4 linked regions of the Rhinolophus ferrumequinum genome follow. The protein of the gene in region 3 interacts with the protein of the main gene of each other region in a pairwise test. Links are inferred from orthologs where the notes say so. Each region holds a gene or a part of one and is shown on either strand. Other genes may lie near its edges. The genes, in order: SUV39H2, RAB22A, APPL2 and CRADD.

Region 1 (6,865 bases), on a different chromosome or scaffold from region 3:
AAATAATTATGGCTTAGAGTTTTACACATTAAGAAGAGCTTTGCTTACTTTTAAGGTTCTTTTTATCTTACAGAAATATGAAATACTGAAGTCTGATTAGGTCTCTTTTAAGGGGCTAGATATTTGCCTTACCTTTACTACCTTGTAGTCACACAAGTATTCCACCTCATAATTGTTTAGATTCCTTTTGGTGATTCCAATCGATTTACATGTGAGCTTTTCTTTTCTACATAATTCCTGAAGAGTATCAAGTGAAACTAGGCAAGGCACACACCAAGCTACAATAAGAAAATAGAATTCTTTACTAATGAAATAGCTACTAAATTAAAACAAAAAAGGAAAAGGAAAAAATTTAAGACCTCTATATCCCCACCATTCTACTGGCAATTTTATAGGACTAAAAATTCATATGACAAGAAACCATTTCTGTGTCTTCAAGAAAAAGTTAAGCATTAAAGAACTATTTAGGTAAATTGGTCTTCTTGGGTTTTCTCCTGGGTTTCTATCCTACTGTGTTTAACTGATGCCAATTAATTTCTAGTGAGCCATCTGAACAAACTGTTCATGTCTGTAAGGTTTAAGATTACATATAGTTGCAAAGGTCAAAAGAGAATATTTTTGACTTCTCCATTATATTCTACATAGAATATAATTTGCTATTTTAATAAAATGTAGATCTCCAGGACATGCTCATTGTTAGAAACGCATCTTAAATGTATTTTAAAACAATCTTATAATTTGTTAAACAGGTAACTTTTCCCCATTCTCTTAAATAAGAACTGAAATCTAACTGAAATATACTTCTATAGTCACATACTCATACATCACATGGCCTACTTTTCCCACTTTGCAGTGTTGCAGGAAATTTTAACTCCACTTATTATTTTGCCCAGGCTGCAATGAATCAAAGTGAATAAACCCAAGCGTCATAATAATATAATGGAGAGTATATTGATTTTTGTAATACTCATTTCCTGTACTGTTTTTAAAGCCAAGAATTACAAAACAGAGTATTCAATTTACTTGACCCATATACCAAGCTTGAAGACACACTCATAATCAAACTTACAGAAGAAGCCAGGAACTGCTGCCGATTTTACCCTCAAATTTCTGCAAACAGTATGCTACCATACTGCATGTAAAACATGCTAACACAAAGTGATGTTTAGAAATCTGTAACAAACTTGGTTTTATGGCGAGTGTTATGGTAAGCACTAGAGAGGATCAGAGATCCTCTGCCCTAGCCTTTGGTAGGCCACCTAAGCTACGTGATTTCAGTGAGGTTTTCAGAGTTCTGGGTTTCAGATTCACTGAAAAAAAATGTGAGGGTTGGAGTCAATTGGGGTTACCAAACAAAATCTATCAGGAAACTCAAGCTTTACTTGGCAGCTCTTCAAGGCAGTTGTGATAACCTTGTGTTTTGAGGTAATTTACAGAAAACACAGCTGCTCTTACTATATATCCATTCCTCACCCTCAGCTCTGAGACTTCATCGTCCAAACCCTGGAAGCATGATTTCCACCCATCCCCACTTCCTACAAAGCACTCATAATTCTAGACCAAGATATTTCCCCCCAAAAAAAAAATTGGGAGGAGAGGTTGCTTGTTTTGTAGTGGTGGTTTCGGGGTAGGAGAAATGACCCCCTTAAATCCTTTCCATTAAAAATCTTAAGGATGTTTTGTGTCAAGTGAACCTCCTTACGCTGATCACACGCAAAGGCGGTTTGTCTGCTGTTCCTACCATTTTTAGCTAGTTGAAGTCATAAGAGGATTCAAGACACGACCCCCTATGGAAATGCTATTGAGCGTAAAAAACAATGGAACGTAAGAAACTGAAATCTCTTGGCAACAATTTCGATTATGATAATGTAGAAAAATTCATTTTCAAGATTAAACATTTCATTACCACCACAAAAACCTCAGAACAGTTCACACTAAGCTCTAATGGAGGAAAAGTTTGTGGATGATGAGTTCATAATCTTTGTGGCGAGTAGTAGTATTGGAAAACACCTTTAAATTCTAAAATACAATGAAAGTTCCAGTCTTTCAAAGCGCGCGCGCGACAAAAACACACCCCCGTTCGGTACCTAATTCTTTGGCGTCCAAACATAACCAACACGCAAGTTCCTGGCGGGTATAAAAATCACCCTAAGCCAGAGGCTACATCCTCAAATACCTACTTAGTTGGACATTCTCCGACAAGGAATTTAACCTCCTAGGGCGGCCGAATTGGGATGTATGTTCGCTTAGCTCCTTTCTAGCGGTCATACTGCAGCCCCGATTTCTCTCTTTCCTGATACTGAGGTCACATTTACACTACAGGGTTCTTCCCGGCTCCCAATTACAAAGCCAGCCAGAACACTAAACGACCCGCTCAAACCACCACAAAGGAGTCAAGCCACACGCTCGCCCACGGGAACTCGAGTCGCCCCGCCACCCCCCAGGGATTAGAGGGAGCCGCGGCAGGAGCCCAAATACCTCCACACGCACTGGGCGGGGAGAGGCCGCGGGCCCCACGGGACCTCGGCTGGGCAGATCCCGGCGCGCAGGCCAGGGCGCAGGGGTACAATGCGGGGAGCCAGCGGGCCGAGCCGCGAGAAGGGTCAGGGAACAGAGAAGGGTGAAGCCCGTGGGGCGCATCTGGGGGCCCAGGTGTCTCCAGGGTGGGAGGCGGCGTCTCGCCTCGTCGCGCTCTGCCTGGCCCGCGCGTCCCGGCCCGCCTCCCGGGCCTGAGGAGTTTGCCTGGAGAACGGGGGGTAGTGAGGGGCGCCGCTCTCCAGCCCTCACCTCCTCGCGTGTCGGCTCCGGCCGCCGCCATCTTGAGGAGCTTTCATTCAAAAAGCCGCGGTCTGTCGGGATAGTTCAACTGGCCGGACGCCCCGCCCCTGGCCGGTCCGCGCGGGAGTCGGGGGCCGAGGCTGAGGGGCTAGAAACCGCGAGGCGTGCTGACGTCACCGCAGGCAGACCCCGGACGCAGCAGCGAGCGCGCCTGCGCCCACGTCGCATCCCGGCGCGTGGGGACGGCGCGAGGCCAGTGGTGAGACGGGATCCACGGGCAGGGGCGTGGCGCACGGCGGAGCGTGGGGGCGGGGCGCGGCAGGGGGCGCTCGACTAGGTTAGCAACCACCTGCCTCAGGCTGGCTGGTTTAGGGTACTCCTGTCAATCCTTCCCACACGTTTTGTTTTACATCGGCGCTACGTGTACATTGTGCAAAATTCAAAACGTAGAGCAGAGCTATATGGTGCTTTTGCCTCCCATGCCTGTTTCTCAGCTACCTGAGTCCAACTAACGATTGTTTCCTTCCATGCTACTCCCCTAGATCACAGGCTCTCAAAATTGGCCGCACGTTGGGATCTCTTGGAGGGGTTTTGCTATGTGGTCCCACTCGGAGAGATTGATTTAATTGGTATGGGGTGTGATGTAGGCAATGGCATTTTTACGGCTCCCCCGGTGATTGTAGTGTGCAGCAATTTGTAACGACCGTCTAGATCAGTGCTTTGAACACTTGAATGGACATTAGAAATCATCTGGGGATCTTGTGAAAATGCAGATTTGAATTAGGTAGGTCTGGGCTGAAACCCGAGGTTCTGCGTTTCCAACGAGCTCCCAGGCTATGCCCCTTGATGGATGCCTCTCCATCCGGCCACAACTTGCCACCGCTAGGCTGCGGTGACACCCAGGTCCTCTAGCAGGACAACTCCAGGAGCTTCTGTCGGGTCTGGAACCTCTCCCCGCCCCCATCCATTCTTCACACCGCTTCCATGGTGATTGTTCTAAACAATCTAAAGCAGAAATCTTAGAAGTAGAGTAAATGCGAAAACTTCAGTAGAAAGTCGTCTGGCATCTAGACAAGTTTAAAAAGAATTTTATGTAAAATTACAAAAAAATATTTCAAAGCATCATGTATAAATTTGAAATATTGGAAATAAACAGAATATTAAAGGAATTAATTTGTTTGATTCCGTTATGAAATACTACCTAGCCATTAAAAACGATCTTTATGAAGCCATTAGTATTATGTGGGAAGTGTTTACTATGTTAAGCAAAACAAACAAAAACCTGTAAAATACAGAGTTTCAACTATGTAAGAAAAAATGTATAGGAATATAAATATAAATTCTCTGGGTTGTGTTTTCCTTTTTGATTTCTCATTTTTTAAATATTTAGCCATTATCTATAATGAGCATTTTATAACCTATAGGAATAATCCTAGCAAAGATAGAAATGTAGACATTTTCTAGGCAGAGAAAACAGAAATGACCAAAATCCGGGGGATGGGGAGCAGGGAATATTCAAGGAAGTTAGGAATTAGAATGGGAGGAAATGATGAGCAGTGAGATCTGAGAAGTGGACAGGAACCCTAACAAAAGGGGCCCCCATGTGATAGGGTCGGATGGGGCCTTTCATTCCTTAATAACAAGGTGAAAAGCGGGGGAGGCTTAGAGCCTCACCTTCTTGCTAGGGCTTGTCGCCCTCTCCCGTCCCCAGTGTACTCACTGCCTCTCCTATATGTTCTTTCAGCACCCTCACGAGCATCCATTCTTACTCAATTTCTTTCTTAGGTTTCCTTCTTCCTCACTGGCCACTCTTCCCTCCTCTTTCTGGCTCCCTTTCCTCTATCCAACCTAAATTCTGGGGCTCCTCAGAGATTGGCCCTGATACATTTCTCTTATGCTCTCTTCCTAAGTGACTCAGTTCCCATGGATTTAAGTATCTTTTTAAACTTTTTGTCTCCAGCCCTGACCTCTGGTCTAAATTCCAAACTTTAATATCCACAGTACCTGGTTGACATATCCACTTAAGTGTTGCACAAACACCTCAAATGGAACATACTCATAAAAGTACCCTTGATTTTTGCCTCCAGGCCTGGTCTACATAGGTGTTCAAGAAGGGAATCTGTGTCATCTTAAGTCACCCTTTTCTCATTCTCCAAATTAATTCCATTAGCAAGTCATGTCAATGGTTTGTCCAAAATACACCTTGATTCTGTCTCATTTCTCCATTGCTACTTCTATTACTTTCGTACAGGCCATCATTTCTCAACTGGAGTCCTACAAAAGCCTACCTGGTTTCCCACTATTGCTCCTGTCCAGTCCACTTTCCACACAGCTGCAAAAGTGACCTTAAAACATAAAGTGGAACGGTTGCCTCTTCTGCTTGAAATACTTCCCAGTGGACCTAGAATAAAACCCACTTTCCTACATGATCTTATGTGATTAGAACTCTGCCTCCCTAACCGTGTTTTGCCACCTTCTGTGCCACTCTCTCCTTTGCTCACTATTCTCTAGGACTTTTTTTTGCTCATTTAAAAATCTTTTATTGTTCATTTCCTATGTGCCAGGCACTGTACGAGCTGCTGGGAATATAACAGTGGACAAGAAAGAAAAATACCCTGTCCTCCTAGAGCTTATATCCGATTGGGAGGAGCAGATAAACAAGTGAGGAAATAAGTAACTTACGGCAACTCACAGTTACTTCCTAGGTGAGGATGCACTCCTCCCCTTCATGTGGCTACCTTCTTATCACTTTGGACTCAGCTTAAATGTCACTTCTTCAGAGGCCTCTCCTGGTTACCCTATCTAAAGTACGTACCTCCTGTCTGCCATTCTCTCTTCTTTGCTCCCTTAAATGCACTTGTCAAAATCTGCAGTTACTTGTCTGTTTTTTGTCTTGATCAGTTTCAGTAAAAATCTATAGAATGTATTAGACTCTTTTGTAAATCAATTATTTCCTTCATTTTTCTAGTCTTGAATCCCATTAATTCCAGGGGATTAGGCCTTGTCTCTTCAACATGCATTGCTGTGTCTCTACTACCTAGAGCAGCATCGCTCAAGGTAGGGTACAGGGACCCCGAGACCTGTGCCCTATCAGGGGATCCTAAATGCAAAACTATTTTCATAAGAAGACCAAGATCTTATCTGCCTTCTTTACTCTCCTCTCGCCAGTGTACAGTGAAGTTTTCCAGAAGTCTCACAACTTGGATATTGCAGATTGAAGAAGCAGATACCAGAATAGAGCTACTGTTTTATGCCAGATATTACAAAGATTTGAAAAAATAGAAAACAATACCATTCTTGCCACTGATTTATTTCTCATAAAAATGTTATATAGGTTAACATAATGTTTTTTTAATTTAAAATGGTTAAGATCTCTTAGTTTTAATTTCTATATGGAGATATATTATATATTGTATATATCTGTCTATATCCATACACATATCTATATCTATATATATCACTAATATAAACAAAAACTCTTTAGGTTTTCAATAATTTTTAAGAGTGTAAAAGCCGTCCTAAGACTGCTTTTTTTTTTGAGGATCTTGGTAAATCCTGGCTATAAATGGAGTGGGAAATCAAAAGCCATTGAGAGACATACATGAGTGTCAAGGGAAAAATAAAGAATTATGCCGGCAACCCACAATTTCTTTCATGAAGACCACTGAAAACATGATTTCTAGAGGTCCATGGATGTCTCCTCTTCCATTTAAATAAATGTTCTTCTTTGAGAGGCAAAGAATACTAGGATAGACACTTGGAAATGTGAATTTAAATGAAATAATGCACATAAAGTGCTTAGAATAGTAAGTAATCAAGCAAAATTAAGTTTACAGAAAAGCACCTGGATGTTAGTTCAAAATTCACTATTTATTGACTGTGAGACCTTGGATAAATTATTTAATTTTCTGAATATATTTCTACGTCAAGAACACAGAATTAATACATGCCATGGTGCTCTCTCTATAATACAAATACTCATGGAGTTGTAGGGAGATCACAATTTAAAAAATAAGATAATGAATTAAAGCAAATAAACAATAGCACTGTTATAAATGTTACATGGTCACTGTTATTTTGGAAATCC
Region 2 (6,890 bases), on a different chromosome or scaffold from region 3:
CACCAGCACCCAGTCTAGCATCTGGCACAGAGTAGGCACTCAATGAGTGAATCAAGGAAAAACAAGCTACTGGTTTTGGCAGGTGGATGGAAACCCGTACCCAGGGAAGGTGGTTTCAGTGGAATGGTGGGGGTGGAATCGAGACAATGGTGGTTTGAGGAGTGTCCAGCAGTTGAGGAAGTAGGAACTTCTTTTTTAAGAGCTCCACAATTTGAGCAGCGGGTTGGGGAATGGTACTCACTTTACGGAGCAGGATAGGAGCATGTTTGCAGGCTATGACAAGAAGGCAGGGCTGGGGAGGAAAAGGGAGACCTGATCAAGAGGGGGTCACCAGAGCCCAGGTGTGTGGAGAGTTGCTCATGAAGGAGGAAGACACCAGCTGAGGTTGAGGAAAAAGAAACAAGGAAAGGCGGAAGGAAACAAGGGGAAAGTCTTGCGTTCCTCTTTCCTGTGAAATGTGAGCGAAGACAACCTGGTGAAGAGAGCGGGGACCCCCCCAGCATCTGTCAGACTGGGGGAGCTGACAAACAAGGAGGCGGGGATGCCCAGGGTAGGGCGTCAGGCCACACCAACCGCCAGAGCTGTACCCTTCACTTTTCTCGCCCCTTTTGGAGACAGCACTTGGGTGCAGAGTTCTTCTCAGCTCTGACTCAGTGTGAAGTGTGTCACTCACTGAGTCACCACTAGCACTCCTTGCTATCACTTCCTGTCACTTCACTTTCCCATGCAGGTAGCAACAGGCAGGCCCTGAGGAAGGTGAGGTCATGCTTTAAACATGTGCACGTACCCAGCAGTTCTTTCTAGAAGGACCTTCAAAGGCATTTTAATTTCACCCAGTTAGTGGTGGTTTTATCTCCATGCCTTCAAACATGCATGTGTACACTGTAAGGTATTTCTCCTTTAGGCAGGACAGACTTTCTCTTCAAATGGAAGAAACCATTTGTTTGGGGGTTTGCAATATAAATAGCGTAAACCCTATTCAGTTTTACAAGCCTAACATAGTATTAAAACCTATGAAACACAACTTTTTGCAGAGCAAGTATTAACATTACAATATTTAAATACCCAGAAAAGTTTTCTCTATAGTCAATGTCACTTGGCCAAAGAATAAGACACCTGAAAAAAAATCTTACATTTCAACATTAACTTATTAATTTCTTACTAGAGCAGGAATGTGTGAGAAAGGTTCAGGCCCCATCCACTTTTCCGGAAGAACTAAAATCATCTAAATACCTTTTGGTTGACATGCCCGAAAAAACTAGTATCCAGACCTGTTTCCATCTGCCTTATTTTAAGGTGTAACTGCTGTTACTATTTATAGATTGAAGATTCTACGTGTAGTCTAATAACCAAAACTTTAATTTGTATTTTCATTTTGAAGTTTTCACTCCTCACAAAAGATAATTTTCTTTTAAAACACAGCACTCCTCACTGAACTCTTTCAAGTCCTTCCTGAGATGATGGGAACCCCTGTCTCTGAATTCACTAGAGTGTACAATGGTGATGCCCACCGTGCAGCACACTTTTTATTTAGAAGTACTTTCAGCACACCTTTAGATGTATACTCAATAAATTTAATCTCTTACCCTATAGTTGGGTTGATGTTCGGATCAAAACTGTCTTCCACGAACCGCCATACAATACTTGATTTACCTACACCCGTATCCTGAAAGAGAAGGAGATGGGTGAGTAAGAAAAAGTTTACCTGTTAGCAGACCCCGAAAACTACCTTGTGCCCTAAGTCCAGGATTTTGGAAAACTCCTCCCAGATAGGTAAACTTTAGTAGAAGTTTAGGGACACAGAAGAGGTTTGCACAAAAATTCAGCGGTAATTAGCGGATTTCAAACTGCACAGGAGGTGTTTTGCAGTTTTCAAGAGACTTTCGGACTTTCTGAAAGACCCCAAGTTTTTGCTTAGTGTGAAAAGTGACAAACTCACTTGCTTTTTAACATAAGCAAACTATGTAACTATGTAAACTACGAACTCCTAGTTTACGTAAGTAAACTATGAACTCCTGAATTACTTCTGAGTAATCCCTGATCAATCCCAGCCCCCACCCTACTTGGAAAGGGGGAAGACTAGTTATTGGGATCCTCTTCAGTCTTTACAACAGCAGCTGAGTGAGGCAAGGGAGCAACTGCAGGAAGCATGCTTTGAAATGACAAAGATGCCCTAAGATAAGACAGGAAACTGAAGCGTCAGTCTTTGGGGCTTCCTGATCTGAACGTGCCCCCAGGAAAGGAACTCTGCGAAAAAAAGTGTTAGGGGTAGTCCACAAGTTCAAAAACACCAAACAGAAGGGAAAGGAGACTAATGCTGCCTGTAAAACCTAATGACCTGTCATTGGTTTTACTTTGGAAGACCTGGCCAACTCCTAACTAGTACCTTGGTAGGAAACTATTTAACAGCTGCTCTTAACCTAGATGCAACGGAGAGACGCGGCTCTTTTCCCTTTAGGGGGCGGGTAGAGACCTTGGGTTCCAGGAGGCAAAAGGGGGAGGGTCTCTCTGGCCAGCAAGCCCTCCTGGAAGGTGCGGTAAAGTGATCAGGCCGGCACCGGGGCTAGACGGAGGGTCCCGGGGCAGGGAGGCGGCGTCCCGCACGCAGGCTGGGGGAAGGGGCGGACGGGACGTGGGCTCGCCTGGCTCCCCGGCCTGCCCGGCCTCCCGCGGCCCTCCCGGCCGGCCCGCCGCCACTCACCCCCAGCAGACACACTTTGAGCTCCCTCAGCGCCATGGCCCGGCAGCCTGGGCGCGGGCCCGCCGCCGCCCTAAGTTGAGGAGGGAGAGGCCAGGCCCAGCACAAGCATTCCACGGCGCCAACGCTGCACGGTCCGGCTGCGGCCGCGGGGCGCGCAGAGGCGGCGGTCGCCCGTTTGCGGGCCCTTGTTCCGGCCTGTCCGCCGCCAGCCGCGCGGGGCCCACCTCAGCAGCCGGGACGGTACCACGGCCTCCCGGGCGCCGCCGCCGCCGCCATCTTGGGACGCCGGCCGGGTCACCTGACCTCCCCGCCCACCTCGGCAGCCACCTTCGCTCTGAGGGCGGGGCCCAGCTGGCGCCGCGAAGCTCGTGGGTCCTGGGGCGGGGCCGGGGGCGCGGGGCGGGGCCCGGGATTAGATGCCCCGCCCCTTCGCGTCGGCCCCGCCTCCAGGCCCATCCCAAGATGGCGGGTAAGTGGGCCCGGACTCCGGGGGTGCAGGGGCGGCCCCTTCCTCCTTAGCCGCGACCACCCAGCGAGATCCGGGGGCCCCCAACCCGCCCTTGAGCCCCCGTGGCACAGCCCCCTCGTAACTCCTTGTGTCTCTTGGTTTTCAGAGATCCCCCTGTACTTTGTGGACTTGCAAGATGACTTAGACGATTGTAAGTAACAGTTGGGGCGCACCCGCCCTCCCCTGGGAACCTCTCACAGAATTCGAGGTGTACAGAACGCGGAGGGGTGCTACAGGTCAGGACCTCTATGTTGGGACCAGAAGAGCGGGACCCCCAACTGCCTTTATCCATTTGTGGCGGTTCCTCCTCATAGGGCGGACGGCTGAGGAAGGGGGAGCCCTCCCCTCGGGGGAAGGATTTTTGTTGTTGGGAAACTTCTGACTTCCTGTCACTTTCTTTCTCTTCTTCCTCATCCTCCTTCTCTAGCGGCGGCGGAGCAGGGACGGGAGGAGGCGCGGCCACTTTGGGGGCGGGGTGAGGGGTTCCACCCACGGTATCCACTTTTTCCCTGGGACTTTTCAGAGTGGGGGGGAGTTGGGAGCTCCCCTCTCCGTGTGGCCGGCCACACCACAGAGTTGCACAGGCTTTTCAAGTGTCCTGGCCACAAGCTCAGCTCCATCACTTCTCCCAAGTTGCTCATTGACGCCTGCATTTCTGCTGTGGGTCTCCTTCACCTGTCCCTCCCTGCCCCTCTCCTTTTCTTTGGAATTACTTTCAGGACTAATGTCTGGGGGAGATACCCTGGAAATGCCCGGTCGCATTTGTGGTGAATGAAGTATTTCCTTTCCGTTCAACAGGCATTCCTTGAGCACCTCCTTGTTCTAGGGCAGGTCACATGGGGAGTCCTGGACCGACACTGATGAATCAGGGGTACTCTCAGGGAGCTCACAGCCGTGGGGAGACCAGACTTGTAAACGGAACATTTGCATACTCCAGGATGCTTGCTGGTGAAGGAGACCTGCACAAACTATCAAAATAGCTACCATTAATTGAAGTCTTAGTATGCTCTTCCCTTCCCCATCTCTAAGTCGCCTAATAGTAAGAGTTGGTGTGTATTGAAAGCTTTACCATAGGTCAGGCATACTTTTAAGCCCTTTACATGCAGTATCTCTTTTAGAGGATGGCAACTTGATTGAAGTAGAATGACCCTTCAAGGCGCCTTAAAGCTGATGGTTAGGAGCAGGAGTTGTGGAAGTCGGATGGCCAGAGGGTGAAGTCCTGTGCCATTCTGTATAGGCTCTGTGATCCTGGCCAGCTCACGGTACCTTCCTGAGCCTCAGTGGCCTCATGCGTAAAGTGGGCATAATAGTGGTCCACTTCAGAAGGCTTTTATTTATTTATTTTTATACTTTTATTTATTTTAACTGTGTTTTTACAGGACCCATCAGCTCCAAGTTAAGTAGTTGTTTCAATCTAGTTGTGGAGGGTGCAGCTCACAGTGGCCCATGTGGGGATTGAACCCGCAATGTTGTTGTTGTGAGCACTGCGCTCTAACCAACTGAGCTAACCAGCTGCCCCTCAAAAGGCTTTTGTGAAGGTGAAATTAATAAAAAGTTTAGCAGGAAGCATTGTATGCAAGAAACTTGGTAAATACCGAAGTGCCAAAAAATGTATACCCGTCACTTACTTGTATTCATCTTTTGTTATCGGTATATATTATTACAATTTTAATAGTTTTTTCCTTTCTTAAAATGTGTATACATTTTTTTGGCGCCCTCTGTAGTAGCTGCCATTGTTACTGTTATTAATGTGATCATTATTCATATTTATTTAACACTGTTGAACCAGGTACAGTGCAGGCCCTGATTTACAGAGTGGAGTGTGTCAGCCAATAGGCACCCTTGAATGGAAGGATGTGGCTTTTCGATGGATAAACAACAGTGAGCTGCTGTTAACGTACCTGTTACTTGTAGATTTGGTATTTGTCCTGGCTGAAAAAGCTGATTTCTGGCTGTTTCAGTTATCTACCAAACCACCCCAAAACAGTGGCTTAGACTAACATCATTTTATTATTTCTAACAATTCTGTGTGTTGACGGGGTGATGTAGAAGCGTCAGACGTTTCAGTTGAAGGTGAGAAGGTTCAGGATGGCTTCACTCCATGGCGTGGGCCAGGAGATCCCTGGGACTCTTGGCCAGACCCTCAGTTCTCTAGGTGCCTTTTCCACTTAGCTGGGTTGGGCTTCTCAAAGCATGGTGGCCGCAGGCAGTTGGACCCCTTTCCTGATGGCTAGCTTCCTTCAGTCTTTTTTGATTATATGTACAAAAAGGAAGTAAGAGATTATATAGGAAAATATCATTATGATTTTACTTTGGCCCTGTTTGGATAAATATTGGGTGTTGGAGATTTGTAATAAAGATCGCCTAAATATACTTTAGCTGATGGCTGAAAACTTGCCCAATAAGGAAGGAAACCACCATTATGGCTCCAAACATACCTACGCCTTGGGTAGGGCAACTCTGGGAGCTTCTTGGGGCTTCCTGTTTGAGCAGGGGTTTGGGCTGTGGGGTGCTGTATCTTACGACTTTATAAATGATCTAATAGCCATAATAGGAGGGGCCTCCCCCCCCAACAATTTATGCTGCCCTTGGTCCCACCTTTATCCCTTACAGTGGTGGTATTTGGGAGTAATTATCCTGCCATGATTGACAGCAAAAACCCTGAGGTCCTGTGACCCTCTTCCTGCCTTTAGTTGTGTCAGCCTGGGCACATCACCAACTCACTCTGTTCATTTTCTTCATCTGCAAAATGACATGAGAATAGGAGATGCCTCATAGGACTGATATGAGGCTTAAATGAAATAGTATATATAAAACATATGTCCAGCATAATGAGTATTCAGTGATTTTTATTATTAGTTTATTCATATTTAGTTTAATCAGCATCATCATTGCTAGGCTTTCATAGAAGATTTTCTGACTCAGTGTTAACATCTGCTACTCTGTGAGGTAGGTGGGGTTATTCCTATTTTACAGATGATAAAACTGAGCCACTTAAACACGGCACAAGTCATAAACGATAGAACGAGCCACCAACCTCTGTTTCTTCTTTGTATTCCACCACACAGACCTCACGGATATGCTTGACCTAATGGTGGGGCGCGATGTTGATTGAGGTGGCCTTCCTGGGGCATTTTTGTCTAAAGGATGCAGTCTCCTCTCCATTTAGGCTGTCAGTCGCTTTGGGCAGAGACACAGGTCATCCTTTTTATAACTCATGTCCTGCATGATCTAGGTGTTCAATTAATGTTGTTACTGGTGACAATAATGGATTAGAAGGCTTGTCTGATTGACTTTGAGATTCTTGATTAAATTTGGCTAACTTCAAAAAGAAGCCATAATGAATGGATACCTTGTTTTTTTAAATCGTTATGAGTCTTGGGGCCATCACAGCACAGAAAAGATTTAATTGTGGGGAATTAGCTTGCTGAAGCAATCTAAGTTCCTTCTCTTGGGAGCGGACAGTGTGGGCTAGCTTGGCATATCCGTCCTCTCGGTGGACCATTTGTGGAAGGTGGAGCTGTATGAGTCAGTGCCTTAAAGCCGTAAAGGCCTATGAGTGTCTGGCTTTGCTTATGGCACGTGGAGGCTGAAGACGTATTACTATCGGTAAGGTGTGCTTGGCCAATTACAATTTAAGAGTATGAGTATGTCAGTGGTGGGTAAAAAAAAGTGAGGGGG
Region 3 (7,272 bases):
AAAAGAGAATAAGCCCCTGAAGAAGTGTGAGCTGCAGCAGCTCAAAGCTGCACTTGTGTTCCTATCACAGCAGTATTCACACTGTACTGGGACTGCTGCTTTCCTTATCTGTCTCCCGGAACAGACTGTGAACCAGTGGAGGGCAGGCACCCTTAGCTCACCTGTCGCTACTTCCCAGCATCTAACAGGCCTGGTGAGGAGCAGAGGCTCCCAGACAGCAATGGGGATAGGCATCGTAATTCCTAAAACATTCTGCCTTTCATGTATCAGAGGTAACCAGAGATAACGTGTGGAGGCACATAGACAAGTCGTATAACAAAACATCATGCAGTAATGAAAAGGAGAAAATGAACAGATGTGTCCAAGGTCAAGAAACTGCTCTTCAGCTCTTCCTGGGTCACTGAGTTCAAATACAAAAGCTTTGTGTTCATTTAATGAATCTTGTGCAACCAGGTTACCAGAGCAACCCTCATAAATACTTAGCATAAAACTAGAGGAAACAAACAATATGTAGTTTCTTAGGATCTTTTCCCTTTTAGTGAAACAACATTTTAGGTCACCGATGACAATAAAGCCAGGTGTTAGGTGGCTGAGTTACCTTTAACAATACAGACGGTCTGGGTTCCAATCCTGACTCTGCCCCTTTGTAGTGGATAACCCTGGGCAAGTTGTAACCCTGGCAAGTTATTTAACCTCTGTGCTCCTTGGTAATTTTAACAGAGCACCTACTTCAAAAGATTGTTGGGGGCATTAAGTGAATTAATAATTTAGGTAAAGCATTTAGAACAGTGCCTGGCACATAACATGCATGTATGATATAGGTGTTTGCTATTCTTCTTATTCTTTATACACAAAATGAAGGCGTTGGATTAGGTTCCTTCCAGTTCCAAGTCCATGAGTCTCCTTGGGAGTAAAGCTGCATTAGGCGCATGCCCCATACAAGAGTGTTAAATAAATATGCTCTAATAATTATCAAAGACCTTCTTGAAAGTTAGCTGCCATCCAACAACCTCACCAAGAACCCTAGTAGGGTGACATCCGAGTCTCAAAAGCAATCACAAATTCCCCACCTTAGGAGGAACATTAAAGAGGAATGACAACGCCTCTGCACCTCCTCTTCCACATACAAGCTCAGAGTAACAAACTATGCAGACATGATAAAAATGTAAGCTTCTAAAGCCCCTTGAAGATCATCTGCTCCATGTTCCTCTCCTGCAGATGAGAAAACTGAGCCAGTCATAGGATGGGGATAAGTGACCTGACCAAATGATAAGTCAGTGTTAGAGCTAGAATTAGGACCCAGGTCCCCTGACTTGTTTGCCAGGCCTCTTTCTACTTCCTCACAGCTGAGCAAATCCTGTAAACCACTCTGAAATAATGCATATTGACTTATGTCAGAGTCCAAAATTCAGGTGACTTACGGGTTAGTGTAACCTCTCTAACCTGGTTCAGCCATCGCCACGTTCAGTTAGGAAAGCAATACATCTTTGTACCTCAGTTTCTCCAACTAAAAGCAAATGGAAATCCTCATTCAAAATCGTGTCGTAAGAAATTCTGTATTATCTTCGATCCTAAATAGTATGAGTGAGGATGGACGGAATGACTTCTAGTAAGGGTCCCATTTGGGATCCATTAAAATGCCAGAAGTCTAGAGACTTCAAAGAGGCCTTTGAAAAGTCAATTAGACCAGCAGATGCTAATTAAAAAAAAAAAAAATCACAGCTTGCCTATAGTTTCTTACAAAGAAATGAGTACAAGACAACGAAGCACACAGCTCTTTGACTAGTTATTCTGAACTGGAGAGAGGCAGAGTGGGCTGTAGGTAAGCCCATCAAAGGACCATCCCAGGACCACAATTCACTGCGAAGAAAAAGGAAAGGAACCAAAAAGAGAAGGGAAACTGTGAAAGGAAAACAGGTCAACCCTATTCTAATTTTTCACGAGTTGAGACACTAGGGAATAAAGAGACTTATTTAAATAACCCAGGCGTACAGAACCAGGAGAGTAGATATGAAGCTGGGGAAATGTTAATGGAAGAGAACAAACGTTCCCTGGGGAAAAGGTGCTCTGAATTATGAACCAATGTCATTCTGCACTTATTTGCTATCTTTACATACAAACTTCCACCTGCAGAGCTCAAAGAACTTGACTCTCATCTCACGTGCGCTAATGGGAGTTCTTCTGTGCCAAAAATGGAGCTGGTATTGTTAACTTTGTCTTCACAAATGGGAAAACGGTGCCACAGGGAGGCCTGGTACCGCTGGGAAAGAGATCCAGGCTCTGCCTCCCACAGTGGCCCGAAATCCACCAGTTCCCTCACCTCAGTAATAGCAGTAGTAATAATACCGGTAACTCCTTACTCTGTATCATTGTCAGCTAGCAAATTTACAGGCATTTCCTTATTTAATTCTAACAACTCCAGGAGGCTGGCACAACTATTATCCCTATTTTATAGATGACAAAAAGGTTCTTTGCCCAGGGCACTCGGCTAGTAAGTGGAGGAGCCGAAGTTCAGGCCGGCAGCCTCAGTTTCAGTTGAGTTTGGAAAGAGGTCATGACACAAAAGGCTCCGTAGGGGACTCCCGCGGGGTCTCCAGCTTTGCCAGAGGGATGCCCACTCCCGGATCATCCCGGGCTGAGGACGCAGGGCCGGGCCCGCCCCCTCCCCGCCTCCACCCAGGGGTTGGAGGGGCTCCCTCGGCCTCAGCTCTCCGGCGAGGGGTACTGGAGCGGCGGGAGGTACCTGGGGGCTGTCCTGCAACGCCTCCTCCAGCAGCAGCTTGTCTACGGCGGGCATGATGCCGCGCGGCAGGGCCGAGGGCTGGATGGAAGGGCCGAGGGCAGGAGGCGCGGCCGCCGAGGCTGCTCCGGGCTCAGGCGACCAGCAGACGCTCAGTGCCCGCGCGCGCCCACGCCCAGCCAGTGGCCGCCGCCGCCGCCGCCCGCCGGCCCTCCTCCCAGCCCTGCCCTCCGCGGAGCAGGATCAACAGGAAGTGTGGCCAGCGCCCGGCATGGCCGCCGGAAGTGTGGCGACCCGCTTCCGCCGCGCCCGCAGCTCGGGGGGAACCGCAGACCCTCCCGGCCGCCGAGCAGCTCTTTGAACGCCTGGGGTGTCAACATCCGCGGTTAAGGGGCCCCGGTCCTTATGCCAGTCAGTGCATAGAAAGCCCGAGAAGGGGAACTTGAGGGCGGAAAGATAAGATTTTAATCTCTGTGAGTACCCAGAAAACTTTTGAATCGAAGGAGACAGGTGCGAACAGATTTTGCTGCTGTGACTCGCCACTTTTTTAACGGAAGGAAAACCCTCATACTTCCTCACCACTTTTTCTAGATAAATCTCAGTATCCCCGAAACAGCCGTGAGAACAGAGAGGTTACCTAATTCTAGGAAAAACTGGATAACTGAATCATTTGTGATATTCAGACGTAACCATTTTTAAAACCATAGCACTTTGATGTGAGCAATATAACTTAGGTTTCATCCTCATGGTTTGCTATGTTTTGTCATTTTTGGAAAATTTCATAATCAAGTTTTTAGAATTGGAAAGTTTAGATGTCTAGTTCAGTGTTGTCACTTAGAAATGTAAAAAGAGGACCTGGAGAGTGAAGTGATTTGGTCAGGGTCAAACAGTTAATGAAAACTAGAGGAAGAAGGAGGACAGGAAGTAATAGGGGAAGATTGGCAAGTGTAATTTGGTGTTTTTTTGTTTTGTTTTTCTTTTTGTTTTTTTAATATCAAAGGCAGGGGTTTCAGAAGTTTCTTCTTTAGGAATCAGAATTTGTCTAATAGGACACTGTGGGGACGGAGTCCCAGAGAGCAGTTTCCAGGCTCTCGGCCTCACGTGGAAGGGTGCTGGCTCGGGTAGTAGATGGCTGTCAGCTGTGGCTAGTTGACCATCAGCTGTAACCAGTTGGCCAATTGGCCACTGATATGACTGCCACGGCTGCGTTGGTTGGTCGGTCAGTTGGTTGGCAGGCAGAGAAGTGAACAGCAATTTGCAGGTCGTGTGGATCCAGCCTCCAGTGAGACTATAGTGGTATGGCTCCACTATCTATGGCTCTGTGGGTGTTCCTTTTTGGCCTAGCCATATCCTGCATTCTTATGTGGGGAGCGGGACCAGAGACCCCACCTGACACTCTGCATGCCACCCTGCATAACACATGGCGCAGCGAGCAGGGTCCCCTGCACGACAAATAGCGCAGCAAGCAGGGTACGGTACCGGCCAAAGCTCTCAGAAGGGCGCTGGAGCAGTTTGTGCGTATGAACACTCAGTCGCAGGTAGATAAGGAGGAGCAGCTGCCGGAGAGCTGGACCCCGTGGAGGGGTGGAAAGACGTGGATGGTTCCCCAACCAGCACAGGCTGGAGAAAGCGAAGGTCATTGTGGACGCTTGCTGAGTCCTCCTTGGGAGATAAGGGTGAGTTCAAGGTCGTCCCTCACCCCAGGACAGCCCTGGCGAATGACTATGGACTGTGGGGAATTGCCTTCCATTCCTAATTTAATGGACCGCTTGACTGCTTGGGAACATACCACCATGTAGTAGAACTGGCGGATGTTTGTTTTTGTGTCTCGACCGGCCGCCATGAGAATATGTAAGCACCTTGACTGTGAGTCGCTGTTGTTCCAGCACAGTACCCTGAGAGGCCCAGAGAGAGTGGCAGTGCCCTGAGAGCCCTGGCTGAGTCCCAGAAGTCTGGCTGTGCCCAGAGAGTGGCAGTGCCCTGAGAGGCTCTGGCTATGCCCAGGGAGACTGGTGGTACCCTAAGAAGCCCAGGAAGTCTGGCTGTGCCCAGAAGTACTGGTGGTGCCCTGAGAAACCCTGGCTGTGTCCAGAGAGCCTGGCCGTGTCCAGGATATTGCATTCACCCTGCAGGCCGCCTCGCACAACAAATGGAACAGCAAGCAGGGACTCCCGCACAACAACAACCCAGCCGCCAGTGAGACTATAGTGGTATGACTCCGCTATCTATGGCTCCATTGGTGTTCCTTTTTGGCCTCACCATATCATGCATTCTTGTGTGGGGAGCGGGACCAGAGACCCTGCATGACAAGGACACATGTCACTAAAATCAACAGGCAAGATATGAAAAATTATATAAATTCTGTATTCTACAAAACACCGAGGTATATTAAGTCACAATCTGATTTGCAGACATCTCTGAAAGTCTGGTCACATCCTCTCTGATCACTTGAAAACTCCAAGGCCATTTTCTCCAGTGGGCTCTAACCAGCACAATCTTTGCTGAGCCACTGTGTGGCCTCTATGGGGAATCATCCAGCATCGTTTTCCCCATTATATTCTTTCTTCTTCTTGGGTAGAATAATGTTCATACCATGTATTTTCTTTTTCCTGTATTTTCTGTCAAGTACTATCCAGTTTACTCTCACCTCATACACTCTTCCAACTCTCTCCTCTCTGAAATCCTCTTCCACAAGATCATACTCAAACTTTTCCTTTCCCCTTGCTGGCCCCAAAGATCACTCCCTCCTCTGAACAGCCAGCACCTTGATTGTCTTTTAGCATATCTTACGCTGTAGCACTTTTTCTTTCTATGTGTAGGTCTTACTCCCTCTTTAATAACTCTCTCAAGAGCATAACATGTCATCTTCCTTTCATTCTGAATACTGAGACACATTATAACAAATAGATGTTTGCTGTTCATGACATGCTCAGTCAACTCTTTCCCAATTAAGAGAACATTTTCCCAACCTTCTATCTTGCTTTGTTCGTATCCTTCCATCCAACTGGAAAACACAACAGTTATTAGTTGCCTACTAGGAAAACAATCATGATCCTGCTGATGATAAGAATAGTATAAGATTGTACCAAGGGAAAGAAACACATTTTAGTTTGAAAATAGATTTTAAAAGGAGACTATGCCCTCCAGATACCTGGGAAGGTCTCACAAGTCCCTTTGGGAATCACCACATTTTTCATGTGTCACCTCATCTAATTAAAGTTATTTTTCCTCAAACACCAGCATTCAAAATTGTTTAAACTATGTTTTTACACAATGCCATTACTTTTTCACATTTTATTGCTACATTGTAAGCTAAACAGCCTTAGTGGGATTACTTGGCACTTAAGTATCATTTATAACATTGTTTCTGTGGGGGAAATGCATCCTAAATTCAAAACAAGTAAGTTACAAAAACAACTCTGGGACTACAACACATTTGCAAATTGTTCATGTAATTCATTTCTTTTATTTGTTTACCCAATCATCCATTCATTTAATAAATATAAATTGCTTAATGTTAAGCATTGTGTCTCCTACTTATTTTACTGTCCTTATTATGACTCATTTAAATTCTGAAGCCAAATATCCTCCCTTCAACAGATAATCTGCAAAAAATCATATAAGAGGAACTTTTATATAAGCAGGCACAAATTTTTAAGTTTCACTAAAAAGTATCTGTTCCTATTAAACTATTGTGAGGGTGGAATTCAAACATCCACCCAACTGTACCTGAAATCCCTGGACAGCTGGGAGGTTGGTAACAGGAAACACAAAGATGGACCATTTAGAGTTACCATGTCCTTTGGGGAGAGAAAGGAAGAACTCTATGGAGCTGTAACCTTTTACCCGGTGAAGGCCAACTGGGAAAAGGGCAGGAGCTATTTCCATAGGCACCTATCTGTGCGTCCCGTATTAACCTGGAGTTTTCAGAGTTTTTCAGTTTCAAATGAAAGAAACCTGACTTCAGTTAATTTAAAGAAAACATAAACACTCTGCAGTCTCTGGGAGAAACTGAGGGGTGAGGAGACTATATTTCTTAGATTATTTGTATTCTGATGACAATGATCCAGTGGGTGGGTGGGGGGGAATGCAGATACAGGAGAGTGAAGTGACAATTGCAGAAGCACAGTCCATGAGCAAACTAAAAGGAGTGGGTTCCAAATCACACATGAAGGGGATAGAAGCAGGGACAATGCATTCAGATTGATGCACATCACAGTAGATTGGTAAATTAACTGGAGGAGGATGAAGGAGTTCTTGTTGCTTTTATTTTCTCAGGAAAATAGGAAGCAAGGCCATTGGCTCAAAGCAATGATGAGAGGGTGTTGGAAGTTTGAGGATAAAGGAAAGAGTATGATAAAGTCATCTTTGGGCATGGGAAGATGAGGCATAAGTATTAATATTCCTATTTTACAGATGCTGCAACTGAGGCTCAAACAAATGACAGAGCCAAAGTTCCAAAGGCCAGGACTGTGCCTACTACACTCCAGGATATCTACCAATCCCTTCTGCATGCAAAGTCTCTGTTGAGA
Region 4 (6,927 bases), about 70 Mb from region 3:
ACACACCTATCTAATTTTGTAAGGACAATCAAACCTGAGAACTCCAGTGGTTCTCAAAAGGCCAGCTATTTTCAGTACTTCAAAAAGCCCAAAACATACATTTGCCTGTAATTTGGCCATGCTAGTAAATTAAAACATTGTTTTCTTTTTCCACTGGGATTTAACTAGGCCTTTCTAAGTTAACAGATTATCTCATGCTGATTAGATATTCAGTCATTAATAAAAATAGAAGAATTAATCATGAGTACTTAATACATGTGGTCTGGAAAATCATTCAGAATATGAGGTCCATGAGGCCAAAATAATAAAAGTGGTCTTTTATTACTGGTATTTGCTTTTTAACCAGTTATACTGTTATTTAAAAAACAGGAACAACACAGTCTGGGGACCACTGACCTGAAGTTGTTCTAACTATCACTGCTATCAAAACGCCAGAGAATGTTGACTTCCTAACTCTTGTCAACTTTCAAATTTTTTGTCAGTTCAGTTCTATACTGCTCAGTCTTTGTGAAAAGTGTAAGTCATGGGAGCTGTTAAGAGGGAACAAATATTCCGTATCACATCCTCCTGCTATCAGCCAAGTTAATGGCACGAGGACCGTTTCTCTTTTCCATAGCTTGCAACTTTCCTTAAAATTAGAATGAGACCCTCCACAAACTACTGTCCTTACAAAATTAAGTACTCTGGGTGTCTGAATAAAACCAAACTAAAAAGGACAACGTTAAATCAATAACCTTTAAAAACAAAGTCAGCCAGCCTTCCAAACAATCCCCTTTGGCCACGTAGGACAGCCCGAGGAACAGGTGCAAGGCATGCCTTCCTAAAGGCTGCTCTGTCCTTCACAAACCTGACCTTTCCCAGCCAGCAGCTCTGGCACCCCGTGAAGCAGTCATCAGAAGGCCTAATGCCTGCTTTCCCATCTGCACTTTCCAAATGGCTCCTGATGCCAAGGGCTGAGGTCTGACCTGGCTCTCCAAGGAGAACATGCCTCCCAAGAGACTTGCCAAATTTCCCTGGAAGCATTTGTAAACGTACCCTGTGACCTCCCTCCTCACCCTCTCAATCATGCTGCATTCTTCCTTCCTTCCTTCCCTGCACTTCCTAATTCCATCTCCTCATCCCGTCCCTCTAATGCCATGTGCCTTCCGCCCAAACTCCTTATCCACTTTCAGGAACTGCCGATCCCCTCCCAGCCTAAAACCCTAATTTCCAATCCAAAGGCCATAGTGCAACCATTTTGGAGCTGGCTTGAAGTGATCTCCTTGGGGGCCTACCTGCAGGCAGCTCGGTTATGGCTTCTTCTCTTGCCTTCTCCAGCTTCTCCCTGACCCAGGGAAATTCCTGCAGGGAATCTAGGAATGCATCAAATGCCTTAGGACCTCTGGAAGGTAGGATATCCAGCAGCAGCATTGTTTTCCGGAGGCCTGTGGCTTGAGCTTTGATTTCTTGAACATGGTTTTCAGTCAAGACCCCTTCTTGGTAAAGATACTGAAGAACCAGTCCGTCCACCAGTACCTCTGCACCCAGGTCCAGGCGAAGAGAACGAAGCACTTGCTTGTCTCTAGCCTCCATTTCCCCCTGGAAAGAGACAAAATTGTAGCTCAGATTACAGGAATACTGATGAGCCCCTAAAGATAGGGTCCTACGATGCAAGCTCCTTAAGGTCATGGATAGCTTTGAACTTCAGCCGACTGCCAGGCCATGGTGTTTAGCCCAGCCAAGTTAATTTCAAATGTTTCTGAACATAACAACACTGAACATGAATCATCTTTTCTGTTTTTGCTCTTCCACACAATGGGATCTTAGCTCAATTATCTTGTTCTATAAAGAGATTTGGAGGGAAAGTGGGTCAGAGACCCTGCTTAAGAAGCAACTTTCATCCGAGGATTACAGAGCAACATTTCATTTTAAGATACTTGAGCAAAAATACTGGGTTTTTAATTATAACACTGCCTTCATCAGTTGCCCAATCACAGCAGAAACTGCCAGTATACACGCAGGTGCGCTTCTGAACATGCGCATTTGCAGAACCTCCGCAGCAATGGGCATGGTGGGCAGAAACCAGCGGATACCAATACATTGAAGGATCTTTTCCCCTAAGAGAAAAGGCCTACACGCCATCACCTTCAAAAAAACACTGAAGTGTCTGTGCCCAGTCTACTGTAAACCTTTTAGTCAGACTCCATCCCTTCTCTGTAAGAATGCAGGATCTCCATCACTACACTGGTGGCTACACATGTATGGGACCTTTAATGGATTTCTTTTTCTTTGAAAGAAAAATGTCCACACGCCAGTCCCGGTCAGTAGCCACGCACGATTTGAAGGCATATTGGCAAGACCACTGAACCAGTGAGCTGAGGGGAGGTTGTGTGCAGACTATGAGGGGAAACGAGGGGCGAGGAGGGGAGGTAGGGGAGGCCGATGGGGCTTCCACACACCCCGGAGAGTGCAAGCCCGGCCCACCCCAGGCCTCCCCTCCCCTCCCCTCCCCTCCCAGCAGCCCTCAGTGAAGTCTGGCAGGTGTAGGGGAGGAGCAGGGTGTGCACTTTTGGAAGCCAGAGCCCGTTTGGAACTTCTTTGTATTTCCTGCCTCTCCAGCTGAAGCCCTGTAATATTACGAACAGGAAGAACTAAGCGATTTTCGCGGCAACCTGACCCGCTTAAAAGAGGGTGCTGGGAATGACCTTCAGAGCGGACCGGGGGGGAGAGCGGGCCTCGGGCACCCCCACCGCCACCCCAACCCGGCCCAGCTCGGGAGGTCCCGAGCAGGATAGGGGTGCGGGGGAGCCACGCCCGGCACAGGCCGCAGACGCGACGGCGCGGGGCCTTCGAGAAAAGATGAATACGGAGCTTCTGGTTTCCTGTTACTTACGTCTGCAAACACGTATCTTAACCAAAAAAAAACAAAAAAAAAAACAAAAATACCCTGCAACCGGAATCCAGACTGTTAGGGAACCTATACCACAAGCACCATCTTTGTTAAAGGCGAAAGCCGGGAACAGGAAGTGTTGTCGCCATTTTTGTTAAGGGCAAACACAGGAAGTTCTGTAACCATCTTTATTTGGGGCCAAGTGTCCGAGTGAAGCCTTTTCCGCCATATTTGCTGTGGGTAAACAATCTAGCCACCTGGAGCTGAAAAATAGTAGCATCACTTAGGGGGTTATCTAATGAAAAAGTAATCGGATAATTGCATTTTAACACAGTAACTCCATCACGGCCTAGTACACAATTGAAATAATAGGTCTGAAAAGTCAACTTAACAGCAAGGCCTTCCCTGACCATTCTATTTAAAATTGCAACAGCCATCTCCTGCACTGGCATCCCATCTTCCAACTTTATTTTTATCTGTAGTAGGTATCACCATCTTACCAAAACTTTTACCTACTCATTTATTTACCATCTGTTTCCCTCCACATAAAATACAAGGTGATTTTGAAACTGGAGGCCAAAGGAGTCCAGGGCTCATGCTGCCTGCGCTCAGCCAATAAACCGACACAGGAGTTGGGTCATAGAATAAACGTTTGTTATCAGAGCACCGGTGGTCTGAGAAGGCAGCGAGTTAGCACCTCTAAAAACTACCTTAACATTCTCAGACCAGCCTGGGATGTTTAAGGGAAAATCTGGGCATTCCTCCATGATAGTTCCAGGGGTCTGCATGGAGCCTTCCCTCTGGCAATGTGGCTTTCCCACGTGCTCATCAACCCAGGAGCAGTGATGACAGTAACCTGGAAAGAATGCTAGGCCATAAAGATTGTGATCAGTAAGCATGGGGTATTAATTATAAGCTTCAGGGTAATTTTCTAAAACAGGGAACTGGGATGGGACATTCTGGACTCAAGCTGCAGGGGGTAATTTATTACTAGGCTTTAGGTTAAGGAAAGGTGAGTCTGGGGATGCAGCGAGGCCTCTCCTACGGGGTTCCCAACCAGGCCCTGCTTCAATTTCTTTATATAATAAGATTCCTGCCCACAAAGTGTTTACAAGTCAGTTATTCAGGATTCAGTTGCAGCAATCAGCTAGCTACTCTAGACAGAAAGGTATTTGTCATTAGAATTGGAGACATTCACAATCTTTGGAAAGGCTGGAGAAGGTCTGGGCATCCAAGCATGACTCCATCAACAACACTGACAAACTGGCTCAAGGCCACAATTAGGAAGATGGAGTCAGGAACCGCCACTACTCCATAGTTCTAGTCTTCTCAACACTGACACAACAAGGACTGGACACGGAACACAACTGCAGAAAAACCAAGGTCTCCACAGCTGTATTTGCCAACAGCATCAAAACAGACCGTGCAAATCTTATTCTGATGCATGCCACTGGTGAAACTTAATTTGCATTCAGAACATTAGCATCAAGAGTGTCTGGGACATGTAATTTGGAGTTTTCCAGCTTCTGAAGCACAGAAAGATATGCTAAAAAGAGAGAGTGACTGATATTGGGGACAGATCTGCTGAGTCGACCATATTTTTAATTTGGAAGGCAAGAGAAGTGCATGACCCAAATATAGACAGGTACAAGAGTATCAAATTGAGGGTCCTTCCTCAAATTCCTTTAAGAAATGAGGCAGTCGATAAATGCATTTATTGATTCACTTCTAAGTCAATTGGATGATATATACAGACAGTCATAGATGTACTAAAAATTACTTGACAGTAACAAACAAACAAACAAACAAACCTTAAGTGTCCTTATTTCCATAGAGGTTTTTACAACAAATACCTCTAATGGAAGATGAAAATATCTTTGTAAGCAAATCAATGGGGAGTAATTCTAAATCTCACTCCTCAAAACCTTCTAATTTTTGTAACAAGTTTAAAGTGTTATTATACCAATCTACCATTTTACTATACCAGTAGTGACAATATTTTGTATGGGTGGCAAATATTATTATTATAACTAGCATTTTACATGTGTGAAGACTGTGGATAAAAGTGGCCAAGTGTCTTAGCCAAAATCTCACAGGTAATATGCAGCAAAACCTGAATTCTAACCAGGGCTCTCTGGTTTCATTCTATTTCCAGTATACTGTACACCACACAGCCCTGTGTGGTGAAGAGTCTGTTCTTCTAATGACAGCCAAAATATTGGCAAATCATTCTGTGCCTCCTCCCACTGATGATACTTTTAAGTTCCAGGTATGCTCTTCCTCTCTCCCCCTTCATTTGTTCTGGAATTGGACAAGATTTCCCTTCTATATATAGGCAGGTGTTAGCAATATTCTTGCTCTTCATCCAGATAAAGTACAGATACTGCCAACAACTGAGGTCACTGACTTTTGGGGTAGAAAAAAACATGTGTAGTTTTTCCAACTGTAAACTTTGATAATTTTCAAACATATAGTAAAGTTAAACAAATAGCACAAGAAAAACCCATATAGCACTACCTAGTTTAAAACACTTCTTGATGACTTGTATTTGGAAAGGTTTGTGATCTCCTGGAAGCCAGAAGGAGACAGTGATGTTGATGACATCCAGGGGTAGGTGAGGAGCCAACAGAGAGTTCCATGAGAGTTCATGAACAGAAGAAAAGAGAGCGGGAGACAGCATGAGAAGAGTTAGTGCAGGAGCTGAGGGGTTGGCATTAAAGATCTGATTAAATCGATAAGGTAAAGCCCTTCACCATCAAAGTCCTCTTCCTATGGCAAATTTAGATGAGCATCCATGCTGCCTCCTAAGTGACCAGGCTAGCTATCCGACTGACTAGCCAAATATTGTCAGTCAGCCTGTTGGAGGACTACCACCCACCCTAGCATACAATGATACTTCTGAGCAGCACACAAAAGGTTCATTTTTACTGTATAAATATGTAAAGTCAGCAAGCCCTGAAGGAATCTAACATAGAGCAGAATCACTATCGCAGGGGGTTACTCTTCCACTCTGTCCAGTGCCTCTCTCTAGGCTGGAGTTATGCCCCCACACAGGATTAAGCACGTTACCCAGTGGTAACCAATCCCTTTTCAGGAAGACAGATATTTTCCTTTTGATCTCTCCCTTACCATGTTTACTTGCATCAAAATATACCCATTGTGAGTGTGCAAAAGAGTGAAAAAGCAGAAAGAATGAGTGTAGTGTTTTGCTGTCTTTCCATTTAGTCTTTGGTTTTGCAACCTTCAAAACAAAAATCAAAGGAGTTGGATATTTTGGGGTCTTTCTGTTTCATAGATGTGGAAATTAAGTCATGGAGAAAAACAGATTCTTTTCAAGCATACTTGAAATAGTCACAGAAATAGGTCGTGAATTAAGTCACAAAGAAACTTCAATAAATTTTAAAAAAATGTCAACAGCATACAACCTATGGACTCTACCATTTTACAACAAAATCAGAAATTTTAATAAAAGGATAGCTTCCATAAATCCCATAAGTTTAGAAACTAAATAAAACAACTCTTAAGCTCCTGAGCAAAAACAAAGTCAAACAATTCTGTTGATAAAGCAATATGGAGATTCCTCAAAAAATTAAAAATAGCACTATCATATGATCAACTTATGGGTATAGATACAAAGAAAATGAAATCAGTATCTCAAAGAGATATCTGCACACCCATGTTCATTGCAGCATTATACACAACGGGCAACCTAATTGTCCATCGATGATGAAGGGATACTCTCTCTCTCTCTCTCTCTCTCTCTCTCTCTCTCTATATATATATATATATATATATATATATATATATACACATATGTGTGTATATATATATATATATATATATATATATATATATATATAAATAAAAGGGTGGGGGTTATTTCCTTCTTTTTAAATTATATATATCATCCTTAAAAAAGAAGGAAATACACCTATTAGAATGGCCAAAATCAAGAACTCCAACACCAAAGGTTGGTGAGGACACGAAGCAATAGAAACTCTTATTCATTGCTGGTGGGAATGTGAAATGGCACAGCTACTTTGGAAGACAGTTTGGCA

What was found.
Region 1: the proteins of APPL2 (region 3) and SUV39H2 interact in binary tests that used the Homo sapiens proteins (3 or more experiments, as listed by UniProt). The link is inferred for Rhinolophus ferrumequinum from reciprocal best matches to the Homo sapiens genes APPL2 and SUV39H2.
Region 2: the proteins of APPL2 (region 3) and RAB22A interact in binary tests that used the Homo sapiens proteins (3 or more experiments, as listed by UniProt). The two-hybrid records come from large-scale screens. The link is inferred for Rhinolophus ferrumequinum from reciprocal best matches to the Homo sapiens genes APPL2 and RAB22A.
Region 4: the proteins of APPL2 (region 3) and CRADD interact in binary tests that used the Homo sapiens proteins (3 or more experiments, as listed by UniProt). The two-hybrid records come from large-scale screens. The link is inferred for Rhinolophus ferrumequinum from reciprocal best matches to the Homo sapiens genes APPL2 and CRADD.

What each region holds. Positions count from the first base shown.
Region 1 is NW_022680355.1:1,428,904-1,435,768, reverse strand, and holds the start of SUV39H2 (histone-lysine N-methyltransferase SUV39H2), read right to left. Parts: upstream 3,023-6,865; 5' UTR 2,788-3,022; intron 274-2,787; exon of another isoform or gene 133-273; intron 1-132. UniProt on the Homo sapiens protein: Histone methyltransferase that specifically trimethylates 'Lys-9' of histone H3 using monomethylated H3 'Lys-9' as substrate.
Region 2 is NC_046306.1:3,908,162-3,915,051, forward strand, and holds the start of RAB22A (ras-related protein Rab-22A), read right to left. Parts: upstream 3,015-6,890; 5' UTR 2,738-3,014; coding exon 2,702-2,737; intron 1,667-2,701; coding exon 1,587-1,666; intron 1-1,586. Other genes in the region: serine/threonine-protein phosphatase 4 regulatory subunit 1, read left to right, coding at 3,164-3,170, 3,316-3,360. UniProt on the Homo sapiens protein: Plays a role in endocytosis and intracellular protein transport. Mediates trafficking of TF from early endosomes to recycling endosomes. Required for NGF-mediated endocytosis of NTRK1, and subsequent neurite outgrowth.
Region 3 is NC_046293.1:14,984,263-14,991,534, reverse strand, and holds the start of APPL2 (DCC-interacting protein 13-beta), read right to left. Parts: upstream 3,006-7,272; 5' UTR 2,798-3,005; coding exon 2,744-2,797; intron 1-2,743. UniProt on the Homo sapiens protein: Multifunctional adapter protein that binds to various membrane receptors, nuclear factors and signaling proteins to regulate many processes, such as cell proliferation, immune response, endosomal trafficking and cell metabolism.
Region 4 is NC_046293.1:84,803,612-84,810,538, reverse strand, and holds the start of CRADD (death domain-containing protein CRADD), read right to left. Parts: upstream 3,021-6,927; 5' UTR 2,926-3,020; exon of another isoform or gene 2,873-2,925; intron 2,314-2,872; exon of another isoform or gene 2,125-2,313; intron 1,579-2,124; 5' UTR 1,573-1,578; coding exon 1,275-1,572; intron 1-1,274. UniProt on the Homo sapiens protein: Adapter protein that associates with PIDD1 and the caspase CASP2 to form the PIDDosome, a complex that activates CASP2 and triggers apoptosis.